Linked DNA regions of Pelodiscus sinensis. The protein of the gene in region 3 interacts with the protein of the main gene of each other region in a biochemical or structural test. Links are inferred from orthologs where the notes say so. Each region holds a gene or a part of one and is shown on either strand. Other genes may lie near its edges. The genes, in order: ARFIP2, RAB11FIP3 and ARF5.

What was found.
Region 1: the proteins of ARF5 (region 3) and ARFIP2 form a complex in vitro, tested with the Homo sapiens proteins (2 studies listed by BioGRID). The link is inferred for Pelodiscus sinensis from reciprocal best matches to the Homo sapiens genes ARF5 and ARFIP2.
Region 2: the proteins of ARF5 (region 3) and RAB11FIP3 form a complex in vitro, tested with the Homo sapiens proteins (2 studies listed by BioGRID). The link is inferred for Pelodiscus sinensis from reciprocal best matches to the Homo sapiens genes ARF5 and RAB11FIP3.

Annotation. Positions count from the first base shown.
Region 1 is NW_027465814.1:176,876-185,038, forward strand, and holds the start of ARFIP2 (arfaptin-2), read right to left. Parts: upstream 3,122-8,163; 5' UTR 3,107-3,121; coding exon 2,867-3,106; intron 1-2,866. UniProt on the Homo sapiens protein: Plays a role in constitutive metalloproteinase (MMP) secretion from the trans Golgi network. May have important functions during vesicle biogenesis at certain cargo subdomains, which could be predominantly utilized by secreted MMPs, such as MMP7 and MMP2.
Region 2 is NC_134726.1:2,492,152-2,499,666, forward strand, and holds the start of RAB11FIP3 (rab11 family-interacting protein 3), read right to left. Parts: upstream 3,096-7,515; 5' UTR 2,793-3,095; coding exon 2,013-2,792; intron 1-2,012. UniProt on the Homo sapiens protein: Downstream effector molecule for Rab11 GTPase which is involved in endocytic trafficking, cytokinesis and intracellular ciliogenesis by participating in membrane delivery. Recruited by Rab11 to endosomes where it links Rab11 to dynein motor complex.
Region 3 is NC_134711.1:567,044-574,596, reverse strand, and holds the start of ARF5 (ADP-ribosylation factor 5), read left to right. Parts: upstream 1-4,248; 5' UTR 4,249-4,343; coding exon 4,344-4,410; intron 4,411-7,553. Other genes in the region: GCC1 (GRIP and coiled-coil domain-containing protein 1), read right to left, coding at 198-1,244.

The DNA.
Region 1 (8,163 bases), on a different chromosome or scaffold from region 3:
CCCATCCCGTCGCTCCTTGGGACAACCCCCCCCCGTCCCTTGAGACAGACCCCCCCGCCGCCCCACAGGACAGCCCCCCATCCCGTCGCTCCTTGGGACAGCCCCCCCGTCCCTTGAGACAGCCCCCCCCGCTGCCCCTTGGGACAGCCTCCCTCCACCTCCCCTGCCCCTTGGGACAGCCCCCCACCCCGCTGCCCCATGCGACAGCCCCATCTGCCCCCATTCCCACCACTCGTTTGGGACTGTCACGTTACTGGAGTTTAAGGGAAGCAGCCAGGTCACTGCTGCACCCCTGGGGGGTGTTTGCCCCAAAAGTGGGTACAAAGGGGCCCTGTGAGGTGTCAAACAAAAGCTACTTTCTTCTGAGTCTGTGTCTGCTCTTCATAGATCGGTTCCTGTCCGTGTGGAGTTAGGAATATGGACTCTGTGTGGAGACGGGACGTTTCTCTGCATGTGCTTGAGCAATGGGCTCAGCCTATGGACATGCTAATTAGCAAGGCTCCAGGGACAAGGGGCCTCCTAAGTACCAGAGACCCACCTGGGAAGGAATCCAGGTGCCTGGCCAGAGACCATGTGACTGTCTCCAGCTTGGAAGAAGCCGGGCGGGGGGGAGATAAAGATGTCATGTGGCCGACTCCATCTTGGTCCTCAGATCTGCTCCTGACCCCAGATGCGGCCTCACAGGGAATCACGAGCCGGGAAGAACTGTGGGCCCATCTGGATACAGGATATACACCAAGGACTTCTAAGCCAGCAGCTGTAACATCTCTGCTAGAGCCTGCCTCGAGAACTGGGAGATTCACTGCATGTAACGTACGATCCTTTAACAACCTCACTCTCACGCTTCCTTTCTCTTAGGGGGTGTCTAGACTACAGGGTTTTGTCGACAAAACTAAACCTGCGTCTACACTAGCGCTGAGTTCTGTTGACATAACGTCGACAGAACTCAGCAGTGTTGTCGACGCTGGTAAACCTCATTTTACAAGGAATAACGCCTTTTGTCGCCAGAAGGCGCTACTGCATCTACACTGTCCTTTGCGTCCACACTGTTATGTTGACAAAGCAGCTTGCGTTGTCGACAGAACTGGATGTGTCTAGACGCTCTTTGTCGACAGAAGCTTTGTCGACAGTATCTGTCAACAAAACTTCTGTCGACAAAACCCTGTTGTCTAGACGTACCCTCACTGATAAACCTTTAGATGTTAGATGCTAAAGGATTGGCCCAGCGTGATTTGTGGGTAAGGTCCGGAGGGGAAATTGACCAGGGATCTGTGGCTGGTTTCTTGGAACCGGACAGAACTTGTTCGGGGTAGGTGGGATTGGGTGCTAGGACCCCTCACCTGTGTATGAGGCCCGGGGCCATCTGGGGCACGGATATTGCTGGGGTGTGGGAGGGGTTTTGCTCGGGAGGCTTCAGGCAGGCAGCTGGAGTGCTCTGGGGGACTGGTGTGTGGCCTGTTTGGGAAGGTCTCCAGTCTGGGGCTGTAAGGAGCCTCGAAGTTGAGCAATTTGCCCTGAGCGGACGCCCTCAGCTGTGCCCAGACCTGGCCACTGTGGCATCTTTATCTCCCTTCCTGGTCTCTTCCAAGCTGGAGATAGTCACATGGTCTCTGGCCAGGCACCTGGATTCCTTCCCAGGTGGGTCTCTGGTACTTAGGAGGCCCGTTGTCCCTGGAGCCTTGCTAATTAGCATGTCCATAGGTTGAGCCCATTGCTCAAGCACATGCAGAGAAACGTCCCGTCTCCACACAGAGTCCATATTCCTAACTCCACACGGACAGGAACCGATCTATGACGAGCAGACACAATGGTTTTTTTTAAATGACTGGAGATGCCTGTCTCCTAGAACTGGAAGGGGCCTTGAAGGTCACTGAGTCCAGTCCCCTGCCTGCACAGCAGGACCAAGTCCCATCTGTCAAGGGGTAGGCCCCCCGGGGGCTGCAGCCCCCCTCTACTGGCCCGTGTGTCGGTCCAGGCCCTTCTCTCAGGGCATATACAGTACCCAAAGTCCCAAAAGTCTCGGCCCCTCTCTCAGGGCAAATATGGTATTCCCAGAACTAGCCCCAAGTCCAGGCCCCCCTAGCAGGGTATATATGGTCTCTGGGGCCTAGCTCCGGAAAAAGCCCCCCCTGGCCGGCGTGTTTGCCGCGGAAAGGGGGGGCGGGGCACCCGGGGCCCCCCTCCACCGGGTCCCAGCAGGCAGGGTTCACGCTCCTGCCTGCTGGGTGGGGAATCCGGCAAGCCCTGGCCCCGGGCTGCTTCCTGCCGCTCTGGCTCTGGCTTCAGCTGCTGCAGGGACACCGGGGCGGCAGCCTGGGCCCCTTGCCGGGCTCCCCGCCTTTATATACGGCTCTGCTGGGAGCATGCCCAGTGGGGCCCTCCCAGCCCGGCAGCACGGGGCCTGCTGCCCCCCACGCCCCCCGGCAAAGGTTTGCCCCACAGACTCAGTAGAAAGTAGCTTTTGTTCGACACCTCACAGGGCCCCTTCGGACCAACTTTTGGGGCAAACCCCCCACCCCCCCCCATGGGCGCAGCAGTGACCTGGCTGCTTCCCTTATACTCCGCTAACGTGACCGGGACAGCCCCCCCATGTGACAGTCCCTCTGCCCCCCGGCCCCCCGCTCCTTCGGGAGAGCCCCCTCCGGCCCCCCCGCTCCTTCGGGAGAGCCCCCTCCGGCCCCCCGCTCCTTCGGGAGAGCCCCCTCCGGCCCCCCGCTCCTTCGGGAGAGCCCCCTCTGCCCCCCGCTCCTTTGAGAGAGCCCCCTCTGCCCCCCGCTCCTTTGAGAGAGCCCCCCTCCGCCCCCACTCCTTTGAGAGAGCCCCCCGTGCCCCCGTCTCCCCCCGCCTGACCGAGGTGGAAACTCACCTTGTATGTGTTGATGCCCCATTTCTTGACAATATCAAACTTCTCCACAGCAAGACCCCGAGCGGCCTCGTCCCCCGCTGCCGTGGGGCTGGGCTGGGGCTGGTGCAGCCCGGAGCCTGGAACACACAGAGCACGGGGCTGGCAGGTCGGGCAGCGTCTCCTCCCAGGCCTCTTCGCTGCAGGTCTGGGCGCCCTACAGTGCCACCCCACCAGCCCTTGGGGGACTGTCGCCAGCCGCATGGTGCTGCTGTGCCAATATCCCCCGCTCCCGGAGGCAGGGGATCCAGGGAGCAGCACGCTTGGGCACAGCCGCCTCCCGGTCCCCACCAGCGCCCTGGCTTGCAGAGTGGCTGTTGCTGGCACTCTGGCCGTGCCCGCCGGCCCAGCAGAAGAGGGGTGGCAGGGGAAGTGCCTCTGAGGGGTGACGGCCGCCAGGCCACAGTGCCCCCCACCGGCTGGAACAGTGGCACTTTGCCTATGCCCTGCAAGGCCCCCTCAGTGCCTCCACCCCACCCCACCCCACAGCAGGGCAGCGGCAGGAAGGCCCCGGCCTGCAGCAGACTCCCAGGGCCCGGCAGGGCTAAGCCAGCCATCTCCATCCTGCTCCCGGCAATGGGGCCTTGCCTTGGCTGTGTCCTGTGCTGCTCTGGTGGCGGCGCAAGGCCCAGACTCGGGCCTAGCACCATGTGCTGCTAAGGCAGCAGCGGGGGAACCTGCCCCCAGGAGGGACTCATCTGGGACACCGATACTCAGAGATGAGCAGGCTTCATATTCCTGCCCAAACTGCTCGGCCCTCCTATCCCTCTGGCTAGTCCCGCCCCCCCAGAGTGGCCAGGCCACTCAAAGTCTTGCTAAGGCCTCAGTGACATCACGTGGTGGGGAGTTCCACAGGCTAACCACGAACCATGGCAGTCTTCCCTTTCCATGCCACGGAGCATCCCCCGGTCCCTGTGCTGTGTGACCAACCAGCTGCCCTAATCTTCCTCTCCCCATGCCCCACATCAGGATTTACCCTCTTCTCTCAGTGACATCCTGTGGCAAGGAGTTCCACATGCTAACCACAGAGCATGACACAGTCTCCCCTTTTGTCCCTTTCCATGCCATGTAGCCAACCAAATGCCTCAATCTCCCTCCCGCCGGCATTGGGATGTATACACCATGCTCAGGGCATGTCTAGACTCCATCCCTCTGTCGCCAGAGGGGTGTGAATTAGACAGACCAACATTGCTAATGACGCAGGGATTCCAATCTCCCGCACATTGCCGGCAAAAAGCAGCAGTCTAGACAGGAATTGGTCAGCAAGGAAAGCTGTTTCCGACCGATCCAGCAAACGTCGTTGCACGAGGCATAAGGGATCGGTCAGAAAAGGCTTTCCTTGTCGACCGACCCACGTCTAGACTGCCACTTTTTACCGGCAAATTGCCATGTCGGCCATTTTTATTCTAATGAAGCGCGGGCTATTGAAATCCCCGCGCCATTAGCAATGTCAGTCTAATTCACACCCCTCTGGCGACAGGGACGGAGTCTAGACATACCCTCAGTGACACAGTGACATAGTGGGACTGTATTTGGGCCATATTCTGTTGGCCTTGCGGTGCTGTATGTGAGTCTGCTGTTCTGTAAGGACTCCAGGTGTGTGTGCGTGCCTCAGTTTCCCTGGGCACAGTGCACTGTCTGGATGAAGACGGGGAAGCTGGGCAGGACTCACTGGGGAGGTCCTGAGGGCCAGGGGAACAGTAGATAACACCCTGGGCCCGGGAAGGGAACAAAGGGGGGCAGGGCTGACACCAGGCTGGGGACTAGGGTCTGGGGTATGGGTCAGTCTTGGCTGGTTTTCAGGACGAGAGGGGGGTATTGAGCAGGAAGGGGGAACAGGGCCCAGTCTCCCCAGGCTGGGCTGTACTGAACGTTCCTGGCTCCTGTAACAAGTCCAGGCTACGCTGTGTCTGTGTCAATGTGTAACTCCTGTGTTCTACCTGCTGCGCATCGGGGTGCAGGGCTGGGGACTCCCCCACACTAGAGGACAGTGGTGGGATGGACTGTACCCCGTGGACGGAGCATCTGCCAGGAAGTCACTGGGCACAGGAGAAGGAAGGGGGCTTGCAAGAGCCAGGCACTGGAGGCCATGGGACGCAGTTCCAGGAAGTGGAGAGGAAAGCAGCTTAACCCAAGTGGGGCCACGGAGAAGGGGGTGCCCCCCCCCCAGAAGAGGTTCCCCTGTGGACTGTGGGAAGTGATCCCAGGAGAGGGCGGTCTAACTCTGCGGGGAAGGGGGGCCCAGGAAGGGTTCTTCCTGGGATCGTGGGGTGCTGCAGCATTGGCCGGTGTGTCTGCACCCGGGGAATGGAGGGAGATGGCCTACACCCGACTCCTGAAGGCAGGCGCCTTGGGGCTGTGCAAGGAGGGGGGCCTGCCCGTGGGGGAACTGACCAAGTCCCAGCTGATTGCCGGCTGGAAGAGAATGATCCTTCCAGGGGGCTGGATCCTGTCCCAGCAGGGAGCAGCCAGACACCCCTGGGGAGTTTCAGGCTCTGAGACAGGAGAAGGGGCAAGGAACTGCCTGACAGGCATGTGGGGCCCGCCAGGCCACGCTCCGCCAGCAGCAGTTCGTCCCAGGCAGGATCTCCTCGGCACAGCTGTGATGCCTGGAGATTGAGCTGCGGCTAAGGACGTGGAGGGCCGTGTGTCACGTTACTGGATTTTAAAGGGGTTCAGACAAGTCACGGCTGCGCCCACAGGGGGGTGTTTGCCCCAAAAGTCTATACAAAGGGGGCCACATGAGGTGTCATATGAAAGCTTATGTCCTACTGATTGTGTGTGTGCTGCTCCCGTACGTGGGATATCGGCGTGCGGCGCTACGGATACGCGCTCCGCGCTCCTGTACGTGGGATATCGGCGTGCGGCGCTACGGATACGCGCTCCCGTACGTGGGATATCGGCGTGCGGCGCTACGGATACGCGCTCCGCGCTCCCGTACGTGGGATATCTGTGTGCGGCGCTACGGATACGCGCTCCGCGCTCCCGTACGTGGGATATCTGTGTGCGGCGCTACGGATACGCGCTCCGCGCTCCTGTACGTGGGATATCGGCGTGCGGCGCTACGGATACGTGCTCCGCGCTCCCGTACGTGGGATATCGGCATGCGGCGCTACGGATACGCGCTCCGCGCTCCCGTACGTGGGATATCGGCGTGCGGCGCTACGGATACGCGCTCCGCGCTCCTGTACGTGGGATATCGGCGTGCGGCGCTACGGATACGCGCTCCGCGCTCCCGTACGTGGGATATCGGCATGCGGCGCTACGGATACGTACTCCGCGCTCCCGTACGTGGGATATCGGCATGCGGCGCTATGGATACGCGCTCCGCGCTCCCGTACGTGGGATATCTGTGTGTGGTGCTACGGATACGTGCTCCGCGCTCCCGTACGTGGGATATCGGCGTGCGGCACTACGGATACGCGCTCCACGCTCCCGTACGTGGGATATGGGCGTGCGGCGATACGGATACGCGCTCCGCGCTCCCGTACGTGGGATATCGGGTGTGCGGCGCTACGGATACGCGCTCCCGTACGTGGGATATCGGCGTGCGGCGCTATGGATACGCGCTCCGCGCTCCCGTACGTGGGATATCTGTGTGTGGCGCTACGGATACGTGCTCCGCGCTCCTGTACGTGGGATATCGGCGTGCGGCGCTACGGATACGCGCTCCACGCTCCCGTATGTGGGATATCGGCGTGCGGCGCTATGGATACGCGCTCCGCGCTCCCGTACGTGGGATATCTGTGTGCGGCGCTACGGATACGCGCTCCGCGCTCCCGTACGTGGGATATCTGTGTGTGGCGCTACGGATACGTGCTCTGTGCTCCCGTACGTGGGATATCTGTGTGTGGCGCTACGGATATGCGCCTCCGCACTCCCGTACGTGGGATATCGGCGTGCGGCGCTACAGATACGCGCTCCGTGCTCCCGTACGTGGGATATCTGTGTGTGGCGCTACGGATACGTGCTCTGCGCTCCCGTACGTGGGATATCTGTGTGTGGCGCTACAGATACGCGCTCCGCGCTCCGTACGTGGGATATCGGCATGCGGCGCTACGGATACGCGCTCTGTGCTCACTCTGGAGGGTTCTGCCGGGGACAGAGCAGTGGGCCAGGACTGTCCAGGCAGTGACTGTGCTAACTGGCACAGCCCCAGGGACAAGAGCTGATGAATTCCTTCATCAAGTAGTTGCTGAACCAACAAGGGGGGGGGGGTGCTATTTTAGATTTGGTGAGTAGTGAGGACCTCAGAGATGAAATGGTTGTAGGGGACAACCTTGGCTCGAGTGATCATGAGCTAATTCAGTTCAAATTAAATGGAAGGATAAACAAAAATAAATCTGAGACGAGGGTTTTTTATTTCAAAAGGGCTAACTTTAGTAAATTAAGGAAATTCGTTAGGGAAGTTGTTTGGACTAAAGAAATTATGGATTTTGGGGTGGAAGAGGCCTGGAATTATTTTAAGTTAAAGTTGCAGAAGCTGTCAGAAGCCTGTATCCCAAGAAAAGGGAAAAAATGTATAGGCAGGTGTGTTAGACCAAGCTGGGTGAGCAAGCATCTCAGGGAGGTGATTAAGAAAAAGCAGAAAGCATTAAGGAGTGCAAGATGGGAGGGATCAGTAAAGAAAGCTGCCTTATTGAGGTTAGAGCATGTAGGGACAAAGTGAGAAAGACTAAAAGTCAGGTAGAGTTGGACCTTGCAAAGGGAATTAAAACCAATAGTAAAAGGTTTTATAGCCATATAAATAGGAAAAACACAAAAAAAGAATCATAGAATCATAGAATAATAGGACTGGAAGGGACCTCGAGAGGTCATCGAGTCCAGCCCCCCGCCCTCAAGGCAGGATCAAGCTCCGTCTACACTATCCCTGACAGATGTCTATCTAACCTGTTCTTAAATATCTCCAGAGAGGGAGATTCCACCACCTCCCTTGGCAATTTATTCCAATATTTGACCACCCTGACAGTTAGGAATTTTTTCCTAATGTCCAATCTAAACCTCCCCTGCTGCACTTTAAGCCCATTACTCCTTGTCCTGTCCTCAGAAACCAAGAGGAACAAATTTTCTCCTTCCTCCTTGTGACACCCTTTTAGATATTTGAAAACCGCTATCATGTCCCCCCTTAATCTTCTTTTTTCCAAACTAAACAAGCCCAGTTCATGAAGCCTGGCTTCATAGGTCATGTTCTCTAAACCTTTAATCATTCTTGTCGCTCTTCTCTGTACCCTTTCCAATTTCTCCACATCTTTCTTGAAATG
Region 2 (7,515 bases), on a different chromosome or scaffold from region 3:
CTTCAGCAATTATTTAGATGATGCCACAGAGAGTATGATTATTCATTTGAAGATGGGAGGGATTGCAATTCAGAATGATCTGGAAAAACTGGAGAAATGGTGTGAGGCAAACGGGATGAAGTTTAACAAGAACAAATGCAAAAGTGCTCCACTTAGGAGGGAACAATCCGTTTCATACATACGGACTGGGAGGTGACTGTCTAGGAAGGAGTCCTGCAGAAAGGGATCTAGGGGTTATAATGGACCACAAGCTAAATATGAGTCAACAGCGTGACACTGTTGCAAAAAAAGCAAACATGATTCTGGGATGCATTCACAGGAGTACTGTGAGCAAGACACGAGAAGTCGTTCTTCCCCTCTGTGCTGATTAGGCCTCAGTTGGAGTATTGTGTCCAGTTCTGGGCACCGCATTTCAGGAAAGCTGTGGAGAAACTGGAGAAGGTCCAGAGAAGGGCAGCAAAAATGATGAAAGGTCTAGAGAACACGAGCTATGAGGAGTGAGAAAAATTTGTTCTCCTTGGCCTCTGACGACAGGACAAGCAGCAATGGGTTTAAATTGTAGCAAGGGGGGGGTTAGGTTGGACATTAGGAAAAACTTCCTGACAGGATGGTTAACACTGGAATAAGTTGCCTAGGGAAGTTGTGGAATCTCCCTCATTGGAGATACTTAAGAGCAGGTTGACAGACATCTATCAGGGATGACCTCTTCTAGACGGTGCTTGGTCCTGCCATGAGAGCAGGGGCCTGGACTTGATGACTTCCAGGCCCCTTCCAGTTCCATTGTTCTTTGATTCTATAATACTTACTGTTATATTTAGCATGATGAGCAAATTATATATCCAGTGTCCACAAACAATGAATGGTTTATGTTGGGTTTGCAACACCTTTATTAGCAAACATCTGCTCCACCTGTAGCTTATTTCGATTGGTTTACAAAGCAGTGCTTCAAAAGGTCCAACATTTCTAACAAGCAAGCTTTCAAAACCCCTACGGGTCATCTTTCTGTGCCAGTCACATTTTTTCAGATTAGCAGATGTCCTTCACTTGAAAGGACATGTAGGAGTCCCCAAATCCTAATTATTACACACCAGCAAGTCTGTGCAGATGGAGGTGTCGCTTCAAGAAGGACTGACTTACATCTCAAGTATGCCTGTGAAGTGTCATGTTTTATTCAAGATGCCTGGGAGGCTCTACGTGCAATCTACAATTGCCACTGCTCTGAGGTATAAAGGAACCCGGGAACAGGCCAACTTATCAAAGCCCCACTGTCCACCCTCTTTACCTAAATACTTGCATGAAGGATCTGAAGCTGTTCAACTTCTTTGCTTATGCTGCCTAAAATGCAATGGCAGGGTTCCGAAATGAAAGCATCAGCCAATCGCCTTCACTACAGCTGGCAGCCCAGCTCCTGAATAAGTTCTCACTCAGCCATTCAGCAAGTGAAGAGGTGCCGGGTACATGACAAGTCACCTCAATAACAGCGGTTTAACATCAGGCTGAGAAGCCAAGCTACCGAGAACAGAGGCAGAGTCGGAAGGACCGCCAAGCCCACAGCTAGCAGACAGAAGGAGCCGGAGTTGTCAGCTTTGGTTTGTTCCATCCCCCATGAAGACAGAGAAATGACCAGACCACACAGGAAGTGAGAGGCAAACGAGAGACACGTTTTCAAACCAGGGGACCCCATCTGACCTCATGGTCGCTACAATTCGCATGAAATGAGAACAGCGCCTGCCCCGCCACACAACAGCTCGTGCTACGAGCCCTAGCGCTGTAGGAGGCTCCGCTGGCCTCGCCCCCACCTTACAGCTCGAAGAGCAGGCGAGTTTTGCCCAGCTCAGGCCAGCAGACAAGGTCCCAGCAGACGCCTGGCGCGCCGACCCAGGCACCGCCGGAAAATGCCCATGGCGAGGAGACACACAAAAGAGACACGTGCCTGCAGGACAGAGCCGAGCGGCCCTCAGCTGGCACCACCCCTGCCAGGTACCCGGCCCGAGCGACACGCGGACTCTTACCTGTTCTGCTCCATAGACTGTAGCGAACTGCACGAACTCCTCTATCCGCACGAAGCCATCCCCGTCTCGGTCCAGGGCATCGAACACGGCTCGGAGACGGGGCTCGTCTTCTTCGCAGCCGGGGGAGTCGCTCGCTCTGGGCGCAGGCTGGCCGGAGTCGGGGGGCTGGCTCAGGTCGCCGGGGCAATGGAAGGAGGGGAGAAGGTCCATCTCCTGGCCGGCCGGCGAGAAGCCCCGGGGACTTAAGGGAAGCTCCGGGCGGCTCTGGGATCCATGGTCCTCGGGCTCTGTAGTCCAAGGGGACGCTGGAGCGGGTCCCTCCGAGCGGCTCCGCGGCGGGGAGGGCTCCATGGCGAAATAGAACCCGCCGCCTCCAGGAAAGCTCCCCGGCCCCAGCCCAGCGCCGCGGGGCGGCGAGCCAGCCCGGTCCAGCCCGGGAGAGAGTCGCTGCTCGCCCGGCCCCGCAAACCCGGGCAAAGCCAACGCCCGCCGGGGGCTGCCCCGCGCATTATCAGCCGCACCTGCACCGCGGGCCGCGCCGCTGATTGGGTCCGCAGCGCCCGCGGGCCAGACGCCGCTCGCCGGCTCTCCCGGGCGGTATAAATCCTCGCGGGGGCCGGCCAAGCCCAGCCTAGGGGGCGGCATCTCTCCCCAGCGCTGCCCCGGGGGCGCTGGTCCGCTCGCCTCGCTGGGGACCAGCCCCAGGGCCGGGCCGGGCAGCTGCGCCCCCCGCTCCCCGGGGAGCTCCTGCGCCCGAGCGCGCAGCAAAGCCGGCTCCATTTTCAGCCGCCAGTCAGGCGGGCGCAGGCCGCTCAGTGCCCCTGGCTCGCCCGGCGCCGGGGCTCGGCGGGCCCGGGCAGCCCCGCGCAGAAGCGCCGCATTGCTGCTGCTCGCCGGAGCCGCCCCTGCGAGCCGGGGCCGCGCCGCTGCCGCCCGCCCGCATCCATCGTCTGCGGGGCCCGGGCAGGCCAAGCCCCGGCACGCCCGCACCTCGGGGCCCCGCACGCGCGCACGGGAGGCGAGGCGCTGCGCTCCGGCTCCGGGCTGCAGGCTCTGCTGGGCGGCGCGGCTCCCTGCTGCAGCCGGGCAGCGCTTTGTGTCTGCGGGCCCTGGCTCCGCCCGCGCCGGCCACGGGGCGGGACTGCGGCGGGGGCGGGGGCTCTGTCTGTGCCCCCCCCCGCACTGGGGGCGGGAGGCTCAGTATGTGTGCGCCCCCCCCGGGCACTGGGGGGACTCTGTGTGTATCTGTGCCACGCCGGGCACTGGGGGGGGGGGCTCTGTGTGTGCTCCCTCCCCCCCCGCGACAGTGGGGGCGGGGAGCTCCGTGCACACGCCCCTCCCCTTGCTGTCTCTTTTGGGTGACTTCTCCCAAGCCTGGGAAGGAGGGAGGTGGGCGGGGCCGCGACACCCCCAGCTCCAGCCCTACCGCAGTAGCAGTGATGTCACTCCGCCCCCCTCCTCTCCCCCCCAATCGCTCCCCGCCGCCAGCGGACTCCAGCGCCCGGGAGCAGCCGCCGCCTGCGCTGCGCTCGGTACAGCCGCGCAAAGATGCGCTGCGCAACACCTGGGGGCTGGTGGCGCGTCGGCGCTGCCAGGTTGCGCGCGTGGGGACGCCAGTAGCGTGCAGGTTGCGCGGGGCAGGCAGGGATCAGGTGCAAGGGGTGCGCTGACGGATTTATTCAGCCCACGCCTGCTCTCTGCTCCTCCGCCCCCCCCCCCCCCCCATGGGCTTGAACAGATTCCTGACAGGTCCGTGCGGGACCCCCGCCCCGCTTCTCAGGCTGCGATGGGGAGGGAGGGGAGGAGAGAGCTTCCGTCTGCATCCCGCCTCCATGAGGGGGGGGGGGGGTCCTCGATGGAAAGGGTGAGACCATCGCCCAGAGCCTACAGCTGGACTGCAGGGGCTCTTGTGTGGTGGGGCTCTTCGCCCAGTAACTAGCGTCTGCAGGGTGGGGTGGGGTTGTGGGGCCAAACAAACTAGTACGTATTTGTATGTGTCTCACCTAAGAACCACCAGGCCCTATGGGGGTCAGAGCAAAGGCCCATCCTGCCCTGCGTCCTGTCTGCCACCGCTGGCCAATGCTAAGTCCCCCAGAGGGAATGAAGAGAACAGGGAATCCTCCCGTCGCCCATTCCCAGCTTCTGACAAACTGAGGCTAGCGATACCATTCCTATCCATCCTGGCAAATAGCCATTGCTGGACCAATCCTTGAATTTCTCTCGCTCTCTTTTGTACCCTGTTATAGTGTTGGCCTTCACAACATCCTCCAACAAGGAGTTCCACAGGTTGTTTTGTGGGGAAAAGATATTTCCTTTTGTTTTCTTTTAAACCTGCTGCCTATTAATTTCATTTGCTAACCCCTAGTACTTGTGTAATAGGAAAGAGTAACTAACTCTAGGCACATTTTCCGTATCAGTCATGATTTTCTAGACTTCTATTATATCCCCTTAGTCATCTCTTTTCCAAGCAGAAAAGTCACAGTTTTATTAATCTCTCCTCATATGGCAGCTGTTCCATACCCTTAATAATTTTTGTCGCCCTTTTCTGAACTTTTTTCCAATGCCAAGGAATCTTTTGAGAGATGAGGTGACCACATCTGCACACAGTACTCCAGATATGGGTGTACCATGGATTTATACAGAGGCAATAAGATATTCTGTCTTATTCACTGTCCCTTTTGTAATGATTCCTAACATTGTTTGGTTTTCTAACTGCCGCTGGACACTGAGTGGATGTTTTCAGACAACAATCCACAATGACTCCAAGATTTCTCTTGAGTGGTAACAGCTAACTTAGTCTTCATTTTATGTGTCTAGTTGGGATTGGTTTCCAATATGCATTGCTTTGCATTTATCCACATTCAAATTCATCTGCCATTTTGTTGCTCAGTCACCTAGTTTTGAGAGATCATTTTGAGGCTCTTCACCGTTTGCTTTGGACTTGACTATCTTTGTATCATTTGCCACCTCACTATTGACCCCTTTCTCCGGATAATTTATGAGTGTGTTGAATAAGATTGGTTCCAGAGTGGCTCCTTGGGGGACACCACTGGTTATCTCTCTCCATTCTGAAAACCAACCATTTAATCCTACTCCATTTCCTCTCTTTTAACCAGTGACCAATCCATGAGGGGACCTTCCCTCTTATCCCATGGCAGCTCACTTTAAGAGCCTTTAGTGAGGGACCTTTCTGGAAATCCAAGTACATGATATCCACTGGATCCTTCTTGTCCACATGCTTTTGTTGACCCCCCCCTCAAATAATTCTAGTAGATCGGTGAGGAGGATTTTCCTTTACAGGAGCCATGTAGACTCCCCCCCCCACACACACACATTATGTCCCTCTTTGTGTCTAATAATTCTGTTCTTTGGTACAGTTTCAACCAATGTGCCTGCTATTGAAGTTAGACCTACTGGCCTGTAATTGCCAGGATCACCTCTAGAGCCCTTTTTAAATATTGGTGTCACATTGGCTATCTTCCAGTCATTTGGTACAGGAGCAAATTTAAAAGATAAGTTACAACCCACTGTTAGTCGTTCCGCAATGTCACATTAGAGTTCTTTCAGAACTCTTCGGTGAGTGCCATCTAGTCCTGGTGACTTTTACTGTTTAATTTATCAATTTGTTCTGAAACCTCCTCTAATGACCCTTCAATCTGGAACAGGTCCTCAGATTTGTCACCTAAAAAAATGTTATTGCGGGGGTGTTATGTTTATAATCTTCATTTTAGATTGCACGTACAAAGGAATTCTCATGGCATGCCGCAGCTGATGATGATGTTACACCTCAAAGCCAAGGCCAGCCCTGGCGTTAGAATGCTGTCACAGCACCTCTGGAATGATAAAAGCATCAAAACACACAACGCTAAATGTCTCCCAGGCAGCCATGAGACATGGGCAAGACACGGACAACACATCACCACCTTAGGCAACTTGATCGGTACTGTATGCACTTTCTTAGAGCAGTTTGCAGCTTCAAATGCTAGGAGAAGATTCCCAATCTTGAAATCCATTACTGCATGTCTAGTATTCCAAATATGTTCTTAAAACTCATGTGCCGTAGCCTGGGCCTCTTGTTTGTATGGTCATCTCAAGCTATATTTTTATGATCAGCTAAAACACAAGGTACACGCTCCTACGGTGGTTGGTAAACACAATCCAAAAACACGCTAAAGTCAAACTTGAAAGCATGTTGGATTGATCCCAGCAATGCAGCAACATCAGCCCCTGACAAAATAAGGTAGGAGCAGAACTGACATGTTGCTGCTAACCTCTTTGAAGCAAGGCATATTAACACTGTACATGCAAAACCAAACAGTACAAAACAAGGCTGTCAGCCTGCAACAGTCAGGGACATTTTATCGGTCCCAGGAGCCCATGTTTGCAATAATCACATTGGACTGAGCTGAGACCTCAAACATGAACATTCATCAGACACTCCATCATCATTAAACAACTGGGCATCATGCCAGCACAACTAAAAAAACCACGTACTTTGTCAATACAACTGGTTCATCCTAGCCAAGTATTAATTATTTAGTATCAATAATTACATCAAGAATCAAATTTAAGACGAGCATGAATTGAAAAATAGCATTAATGTATTCTATGCATTCATGGCCTCGGGATAGGCAAGAACACCACTTCACGTTTGACATGCCCATTCATGAAATGTCAGGGCAGAGTGGGAGCCTCCCAATGCCTTCAGTGATAAATGGAGAGAGGCTTGTGAAATCTTCACAACACTCCCATTTTACAGAAGGGTAATTGTGCACAAGAGGGGAGAAAGTGAGGAATCCTACTTCATTAGGGAAAAATATAGTTTAAGCTTATATGAGAGAGAGAGAAATAAATATAGATATATCTAGTTTGCTCTGAATTTTTATTTAATTAGTTATGTTTACAGGCCTCAAACCCTTATGTACATGAGTAACATTTCTGGACCGGCTAGTTCTCATGAGTAAAGTTATACGTGCATTCAAGGGATTATCTATGCAGCAAAGTTCACAGTGGCATAATCTGTGACTTTAAAGCACTATAATTATACTGGTATAACCCCTTCTGTACAGTCTTATTCCAAGGTATTGCAATTTGTTCATGTTATTTTGAAAAGTTTAAACTAAACAAAATCTTACTCCAGAATAGGGGCATGTCTTCACTCACCATGCCGGAGATCGACGTTCTGGTGTTTGATTTAGCGGGTCTAATATAGACCCATCAATCGAATGCTGAGGTCAGCTTCAGCCAGCATCTGTACTCCTCTGTCACAAGGAGTAAGGGAAGCTGACTGGAGCATATGTAGTCTCCGTAGCTGGAGTTGCATACCTTAAACCGACCTTACAGAGCTAGTGTAGACCTGGCCAAAGAGCATTCACATGGCGGTTTACACTGATATAACTATAGCAATTTAATTATACAAGTACAACTGATTAAACTTGTCCAGGTAGCCTAGAGTGTTTGCAAAATCAGGGCTTTATACTGCCATATTGCCCAGACGCAAAGT
Region 3 (7,553 bases):
CTGAAGCACAGCAGTTTGAATCCTTATTAAGAAGGAATTCCTTCTAATGGAACAGTAGATTTTTCTCTCATTTATGGTCCTATGAAGACGCAGGATTTATGCCAACCCAAACTCACTACAAATCTCTGTACTCACTAATGCTCTCCTCCTATATAATAGGTTGGCTAGTACACCCTGGTGTACCAACAAAGAATTACCTTTTTCATCTCTTGCAGCAGCTGTGCTTGAAAATGACTCTTGAGGCTGGCCATCTCCTCCTGTAGCTCCTGCAGCCTGGGATCTGGCTTGCTGCTCGTTTCCTGCACGGCCTGCAGCTCTCTCTTCAGCTCCTCCACCACCCTGTTCAGCTGCTTTGTCTGCAGTTCAGACTCTTCCACTCGGTCTGCCATGTACACCCTTCCAGCCAGTGCTTCCTTAGTCTCCTCCAACTTTAGCTCCACATCCTGGCGCAAGGTCCTTTCACCTTGCAGCAGCTTCTGCAGCTCCCGCAGCATCACGGCATGGTCACTCTGCTCTTGGGCCCGGTCATGTTGCTGAGTAATAAGACGAGCTTTGGTCTCTGCCAGCTGCTCCTGGACACACTTCATCTCTGCCTCCAACTTGCTCCTCTCTTCCTCAGCCTTTTTACTGGCCTCATCCAGGTCCTGCTTCATCTTTTTCTTGTCTGCTTGGTACGAGGCTTCCATGCGGGATTTCTCCTGGGTGACTGTAGCCAGGGAGCTGGTTAAGGTGGCCAGTTGAGTCTTCAGCTGGAGCACCCTTTTGTCAGTCTCACTAGCCGCGCCTGGCACATCCCCACTGCTCGTGCTGACCCCACTCTCCGACTCGCTCGCCTCCTCCGATTTCAGGGGGGGCCCCCCAGCTCCGGTTCGCTCATCGTCTGTCCCCAGTTCACCCTTGGCACTGGTCATGCTGGCAGCCGTGTCCACACTGGTGGCCGTGCCCGTGCTGTCCTCGCTGTGCGCGGAACTCCGGTCATCCGCACAGTCGGCAAGGGACACGCCGGAGTGGGCAGCGCCCGGGGGCGGGGGGCCACCCAGGCCCGCGTCGGTCTCGTGGGACACGGACAAGACTTTCAAGCTGGCTTCCAAGGCTTCCTTCTCGGCCAGCAGGCTCTTGTAGGCCCGCACCACGTCCCCCAGGCGCGTCTGGTACTGGAGCAGCTGCTTCCGCTGCGCCTCCACGGTCTCCGCGAGCTCCCTGCGGCTGGGGCCGCCCCCGAAGCTCATCCCGAACTTCTCCATGGCGGGGGGGCTCGGGCAGCCCCCGGGGAAGGCGCAGACTCCGGAGTGACTCCGGTTCCGTCACAGCCCCCCCCTCAGCGGGCGGGAAGAGGCCGCCCCCGGGATCGCGCCCCCCTCAGCGGGCGGGCGGGAAGAGGCCGCCCGCTCGGTGTTTCGGCGGGACGGGGAGAGGCCGGCCCCTCCCCCCGCCGCTCCTCACACGTCAGCAAGGCGGCTCCGCTCACCCGGACCTCCCGCCACACGCATGCGTGGAACCCGTCACGCCCGGCCCACCCTCATCACGCCTGCGCGTAAACCGCCGCTCCCCGGCCCGCGAGCCTCGCGCTTGCGCACCCCGCGCCTCTCGCGGCCAACGCGCCTGCGCCCAGGACGTAGGTCACCAACCGACGCTCGCCGCTCTTGAGGTTCCCCGCTAACGGTCGCTACGCGTGCGCGTATGGCGTCATTTCCCCCCCCCCGGGGGCCAACGGTCGCCGCGCATGCGCGCATATCTCAGCGCTCTACCTGCTGGCCCCGCTTCTTTCTCACTGCGCATGTGCCGATTGCAGTAGCCTTTTGACTCTTCTGCCCAGGTCGCAGCGCCCAAGTGCGCAGGTGCGCTCCTCGGGAAGGGGCGGGGCTATGAGATTTGGGGGCGGGGCTCCGAGGCAGTAGCTGCCACGTGGGGAGGGAGGCGCTGCACGGCTGCAGGAGGGGACCGGTTCCCTAGCTAGGGCCGGGGCGGGAGCTGCCTTTGCCCGAGGCCCTGAGCAGGCGATGCGGGGGCCCGGCAGAGGCGTGTTCAGCCCCACGGAGCCGGCCTCCTTCTTCCCGTGGGGGCCCGCCCCCACCCCGCCCCACTATCCTGTTGGGCTGGTTCCTGCTCAGCAGCGAGCCTCTGCCCCGGCCCACGGGCAGGGACGTGTCGCCGGGCCCGCTCAGCGTGGCTCCGTGGAGAAGTCACTTCCTAGCCCTGGGTCGCTCGGGCTCTGCCGGTCCGGCATGCTAGGGGCAAGGTGGGTGAAGCTGCGATGTCTTCCCCGCGGGTGAAAACCAGAAGCCTTTGAGACCCAGAGCACCTTGTTAGGTCCAGCGGAAGTTGGTCCAATAAAGCCTGTTCCCTCACCCACTGTTGTCTCTCGTGGCCGGTGGGGGAAAGCATGGCCCATAGGGAGGTTGCTCCTAGCTAGAACCCCATCTCTGGGATGATTTATGATCAGAGGGGTAGCCCCCGTTAGTCTGTAATGGGAAAAACTTAAGAAAAACCCCAAGGCTGTGTCTACATTGGCGCAATCTTGCGCCAAAGCGGTGGCTTTTGTGCAAAAACTTGCTGCCTGGCTACACTGGCCGCGAGATCTTGCGCAAGAACACTGACGTTCTAATGTGTGAAATCAGGGCTTCTTGCACAAGAACTATGATGCTCTCACTCAGGAATAAGCCCTCTTGTGTAACTGTTCTTGCGCAGAGGCCAGTGTAGATAGGCAACATGAATTTCTTGCCCAGGAAAGCCCTTTGGTTAAAATGGCCATCGGAGCTTTCTTGCGCAAGAGAGCGTCTACACTGGCATGGATGCTCTTGTGCAAAAGCACATCTCTTACGCAAAGGCACATGCCAGTGTAGATGCTCTCGTGCGCAAATACTTTAACGCAAGAACTCTTGCGTTAAAGAGTATTTGTGCAAGATCATGCCAATGTAGACATAGCCTAAGTCTTGCAGCACCTTAAAGACTAACAAAACAAGTGTAGTTTTCATTTAAAAAAGCCCCTTGGAATGCAAAAGGCAGCCCAGGTACACCAGGCAGTCAGCGACAATAGCTCCAGAGGGGTGGACTGTCCCATTCAGATTAATTTCAAGCCCTGCTGCCATTTCCAAGCGGTGTGACCTCACTGCAAGGCCCTGGCACAGGGTGGGATCCAGGAGTATCACCAGCATTGTGCCTAGAGCCCTGGAGCTGCAGGGAGCAGAAGTTTCGGGGTGAGGGAGCAGGACTCCCCCAAAAATGGGGCTCTGGCAGGATTCAAGGGATTGTGGCCCTTTCTAGAGACGGGGTAGTGTAGCTCCTGGGGGCGTGGCTAGCACTTGAAGAGGCGGAGCTCGCGGTGCAAGGGTGGGGCCAATGCTGTAGGAGGCGGGGCTATTGGTAGAGGGCGTGGCTCCTGCGGAGGATCGCGCTGCTGCTAGCGTCCAGGATCCTCGAGGAGGCGGAGCTAGTGCTGCAGGGGCGGGGCTCTTGCAGGAGGCGACTGACGGCGCCTGGCCACGTGCCCATGCTTCTGGGGGCGGGGCCACTGCCACGGGGCGGGGCTCGTTCTACAGGTATCGGAGTGTTGCCGGGTTTGGGGCTCTGCCAAGGGGCGGGACTAAGGCGGACGGGGGCGGGGCTCTTTCAGGAGGCGGGGTTAAGGCTCGGGAGCGGGTTCTGTGGGGGGGGCTCTGTCAGGAGGCGGGATTAAGGCGGGAGGGGGCGGGGCTATGGCTGGGGGGGGCTCGTCTAGGGGGCGGGGCTCTGATGCGAGGGAGCCTATGACAGGGTGGACGGGGCTCTGACGGGGCGGGGCTAAGACTCGGGAGGAGGCTCTGTGGGGGCGGCTCTGCCAGGAGGCGGGGCTACGGCGGGCGGGGCGGGGCTGTGCCAGGGGCGGGGCGGGGCTAAGACTCGGGAGGAGGCTCTGTGGGGGCGGCTCTGCCAGGAGGCGGGGCTACGGCGGGCGGGGCGGGGCTGTGCCAGGGGCGGGGCTAAGACTCGCTAGGGAGCTCTGTGGGGGGGGGAATCTGCCAGGAGGCGGGGCTAAGGCTCGTTGGGGGGCTCTGTGGGGGGGGAATCTGCCAGGAGGCGGGGCTAAGGCTCGGTGGGGGGCTCTGCCGAGGGCGGGGCTAAGGCTCGTTGGGGGGGCTCTGCCGAGGGCAGGGCTACGGCGGGCGGGGGCGGGGCTAAGACTCGCTAGGGAGCTCTGGGGGCGGGGATCTGCCAGGAGGCGGGGCTAAGGCTCGGTGGGGGGGCTCTGCCGAGGGCGGGGCTACAGCGGGCGGGGGCGGGGCCCTGCCAGGGGGCGGGGCCAGGCTGCTCGCAGCGGCGGTGTCGGCAGGCTCGGGGCGCAGCGCGGCTCCCGCTCCCCAGCCATGGGCCTCACGGTCTCCGCCATCTTCTCGCGGATCTTCGGCAAGAAGCAGATGCGGATCCTCATGGGTGAGGCCGCGTCCCCCCCTCCCACCCCCGGGGGGGCCCTACGGGCGGGGGGGGGGACGCAGGGCCGGGGGGGCCCAACGGGCAGGGGGGGGGACGCAGGGCCGGGGGGGCCCTACGGGCCGGGGGGGGACGCAGGGCCGGGGGGGCCCTACGGGCAGGGGGGGGGGGGACGCAGGGCCGGGGGGGCCCAACGGGCAGGGGGGGGGACGCAGGGCCGGGGGGGCCCTACGGGCCGGGGGGGGACGCAGGGCCGGGGGGGCCCAACGGGCAGGGGGGGGGGGATGCAGGGCTCTGGAGAATGGGGAGGGCTGTGTTCCCGGGGGGCAGTGGGGTTGGGTTGCGGGACTGGGGGGGGCAGGGCGATATGGGGAGAGGGGCGGGATGCAGGGCTCTGGAGAATGGGGAGGGCTGTGTTCCCGGGGGGCAGTGGGGTTGGGTTGCGGGACTGGGGGGGGCAGGGCGATATGGGGAGAGGGGCGGGATGCAGGGCGGGGGGATGCAGGGCTCTGGAGAATGGGGAGGGCTGTGTTCCCGGGGGGCAGTGGGGTTGGGTTGCGGGGCTGGGGGGGGCAGGGCGATATGGGGAGAGGGGTGGGATGCAGGGCGGGGGGGTGCAGGGCTCTGGAGAATGGGGAGGGCTGTGTTCCCGGGGGGCAGTGGGGTTGGGTTGCGGGACTGGGGGGGGCAGGGCGATATGGGGGGAGGGGCGGGATGCAGGGTGGGGGGGGATGCAGGGCTCTGGAGAATGGGGAGGGCTGTGTTCCCGGGGGGCAGTGGGGTTGGGTTGCGGGACTGGGGGGGGCAGGGCGATATGGGGAGAGGGGCGGGATGCAGGGCGGGGGGATGCAGGGCTCTGGAGAATGGGGAGGGCTGTGTTCCCGGGGGGCAGTGGGGTTGGGTTGCGGGGCTGGGGGGGGCAGGGCGATATGGGGAGAGGGGTGGGATGCAGGGCGGGGGGGTGCAGGGCTCTGGAGAATGGGGAGGGCTGTGTTCCCGGGGGGCAGTGGGGTTGGGTTGCGGGACTGGGGGGGGCAGGGCGATATGGGGGGAGGGGCGGGATGCAGGGTGGGGGGGGATGCAGGGCTCTGGAGAATGGGGAGGGCTGTGTTCCTGGGGGGCAGTGGGGTTGGGTTGCGGGACTGGGGGGGGCAGGGCGATATGGGGAGAGGGGCGGGATGCAGGGCGGGGGGGTGCAGGGCTCTGGAGAATGGGGAGGGCTGTGTTCCCGGGGGGCAGTGGGGTTGGGTTGCGGGGCTGGGGGGGGCAGGGCGATATGGGGAGAGGGGCGGGATGCAGGGCGGGGGGGTGCAGGGCTCTGGAGAATGGGGAGGGCTGTGTTCCCGGGGGGCAGTGGGGTTGGGTTGCGGGACTGGGGGGGGCAGGGCGATATGGGGGGAGGGGCGGGATGCAGGGTGGGGGGGGATGCAGGGCTCTGGAGAATGGGGAGGGCTGTGTTCCTTGGGGGCAGTGGGGTTGGGTTGCGGGACTGGGGGGGCAGGGCGATATGGGGAGAGGGGTGGGATGCAGGGCGGGGGGGTGCAGGGCTCTGGAGAATGGGGAGGGCTGTGTTCCCGGGGGGCAGTGGGGTTGGGTTGCGGGACTGGGGGGGGCAGGGCGATATGGGGGGAGGGGCGGGATGCAGGGCGGGGGGGTGCAGGGCTCTGGAGAATGGGGAGGGCTGTGTTCCCGGGGGGCAGTGGGGTTGGGTTGCGGGGCTGGGGGGGGCAGGGCGATATGGGGGGAGGGGCGGGATGCAGGGCGGGGGGGTGCAGGGCTCTGGAGAATGGGGAGGGCTGTGTTCCTGGGGGGCAGTGGGGTTGGGTTGCGGGACTGGGGGGGGGCAGGGCGATATGGGGAGAGGGGCGGGATGCAGGGCGGGGGGGTGCAGGGCTCTGGAGAATGGGGAGGGCTGTGTTCCTGGGGGGCAGTGGGGTTGGGTTGCGGGACTGGGGGGGCAGGGCGATATGGGGAGAGGGGTGGGATGCAGGGCGGGGGGGTGCAGGGCTCTGGAGAATGGGGAGGGCTGTGTTCCTGGGGGGCAGTGGGGTTGGGTTGCAGGACTGGGGGGGTGTTAACCCCCCTGTGCGCTCAGTTCCTCCATCCCAAGGTAGGTCAGTACTTTGACGGTGGGAGTGGAGGCGCTGGGCCGTCGGGGCTGGCAGCCTGGAGCAGTGGTGGGGCAGTCGGCTCTACCCTGGCGCTGCCAGCAGCTGCCCTTATCCCAGAGCATCGGGGAGGGCAGCCATTGCCTGGTGGAGACGTGCCCTGCAGAGCTGAGCGGCCCTGCCGAGCCAGAGCACCTGCTCTTCCTGCATTGTCCAGCTGCCTCTTGCCCTCTGCCAGGAGGGGCTGGGCTCACGACTGGCCCGTCCCCCCCCCAGTTTGAGACCCATGCGAGTGAGGGGTCCTGTGCCTCCCCCACCCGTTGGTTTCTGCAGGTTTAGAGAGCACACCTCAAGGAGAGGCCAGTGACTCGCTGGGCAATGAGGATCGTAGGCGCAGGCTCCCTCCATGTCCCCCAGGCATAGGCTCCCTCTGCAGACGGCAACAGGGTTTGAGCTTGTTGTTTGCTGGGTGTGAAGAGCTCTTGGTGACAGAGAGGCCAGAATTGTGTCCCTGAACCAGGGGGGAGGAGGTAGCCGAGCCAACAGCCCTGGCCTAGGAGAGGGGCTTGAACCCGGTAGCCATCAGGCCAGTCTCTCCGAAACGCAGTTCGGATTGGGCACCGGAGCGCCTCCTGACCCCGTGGCAGCTGGACGCTCCAGCCAGCGGATGCTTGCGCTGTGGCGGGGTGCGCGCTCTCGTGCCAGAGATGGGGTCCGAGCCACTCAGCAGGGTCAGCGGGGCCGGTGCCTTCAGCGGGTGCCCCAGGCTAGCGCAATTGACGCCTCGTGGGGAGGGAAGTGCCCCGAGATCCAGGCTGCGCGGGGGACCGAGGCTGGCTGTGGTCCGCTCGGCTCGCCTGGCTTTGACTTGGCGACGGCAGCTCTGGCTCGCTTTGCAGTGCACGGCGTGAGCAGGGGGCTGTTAACCCTGCCAGCTTGGAGCAGGGGGTTTACAGAGCCTGGTGGAGGAGGGGATCTATCCGCCCAGTTGCAGGGCAAATAAGTAAGAATGGCAGATTTGGAGGGGGGTGGGTTCTG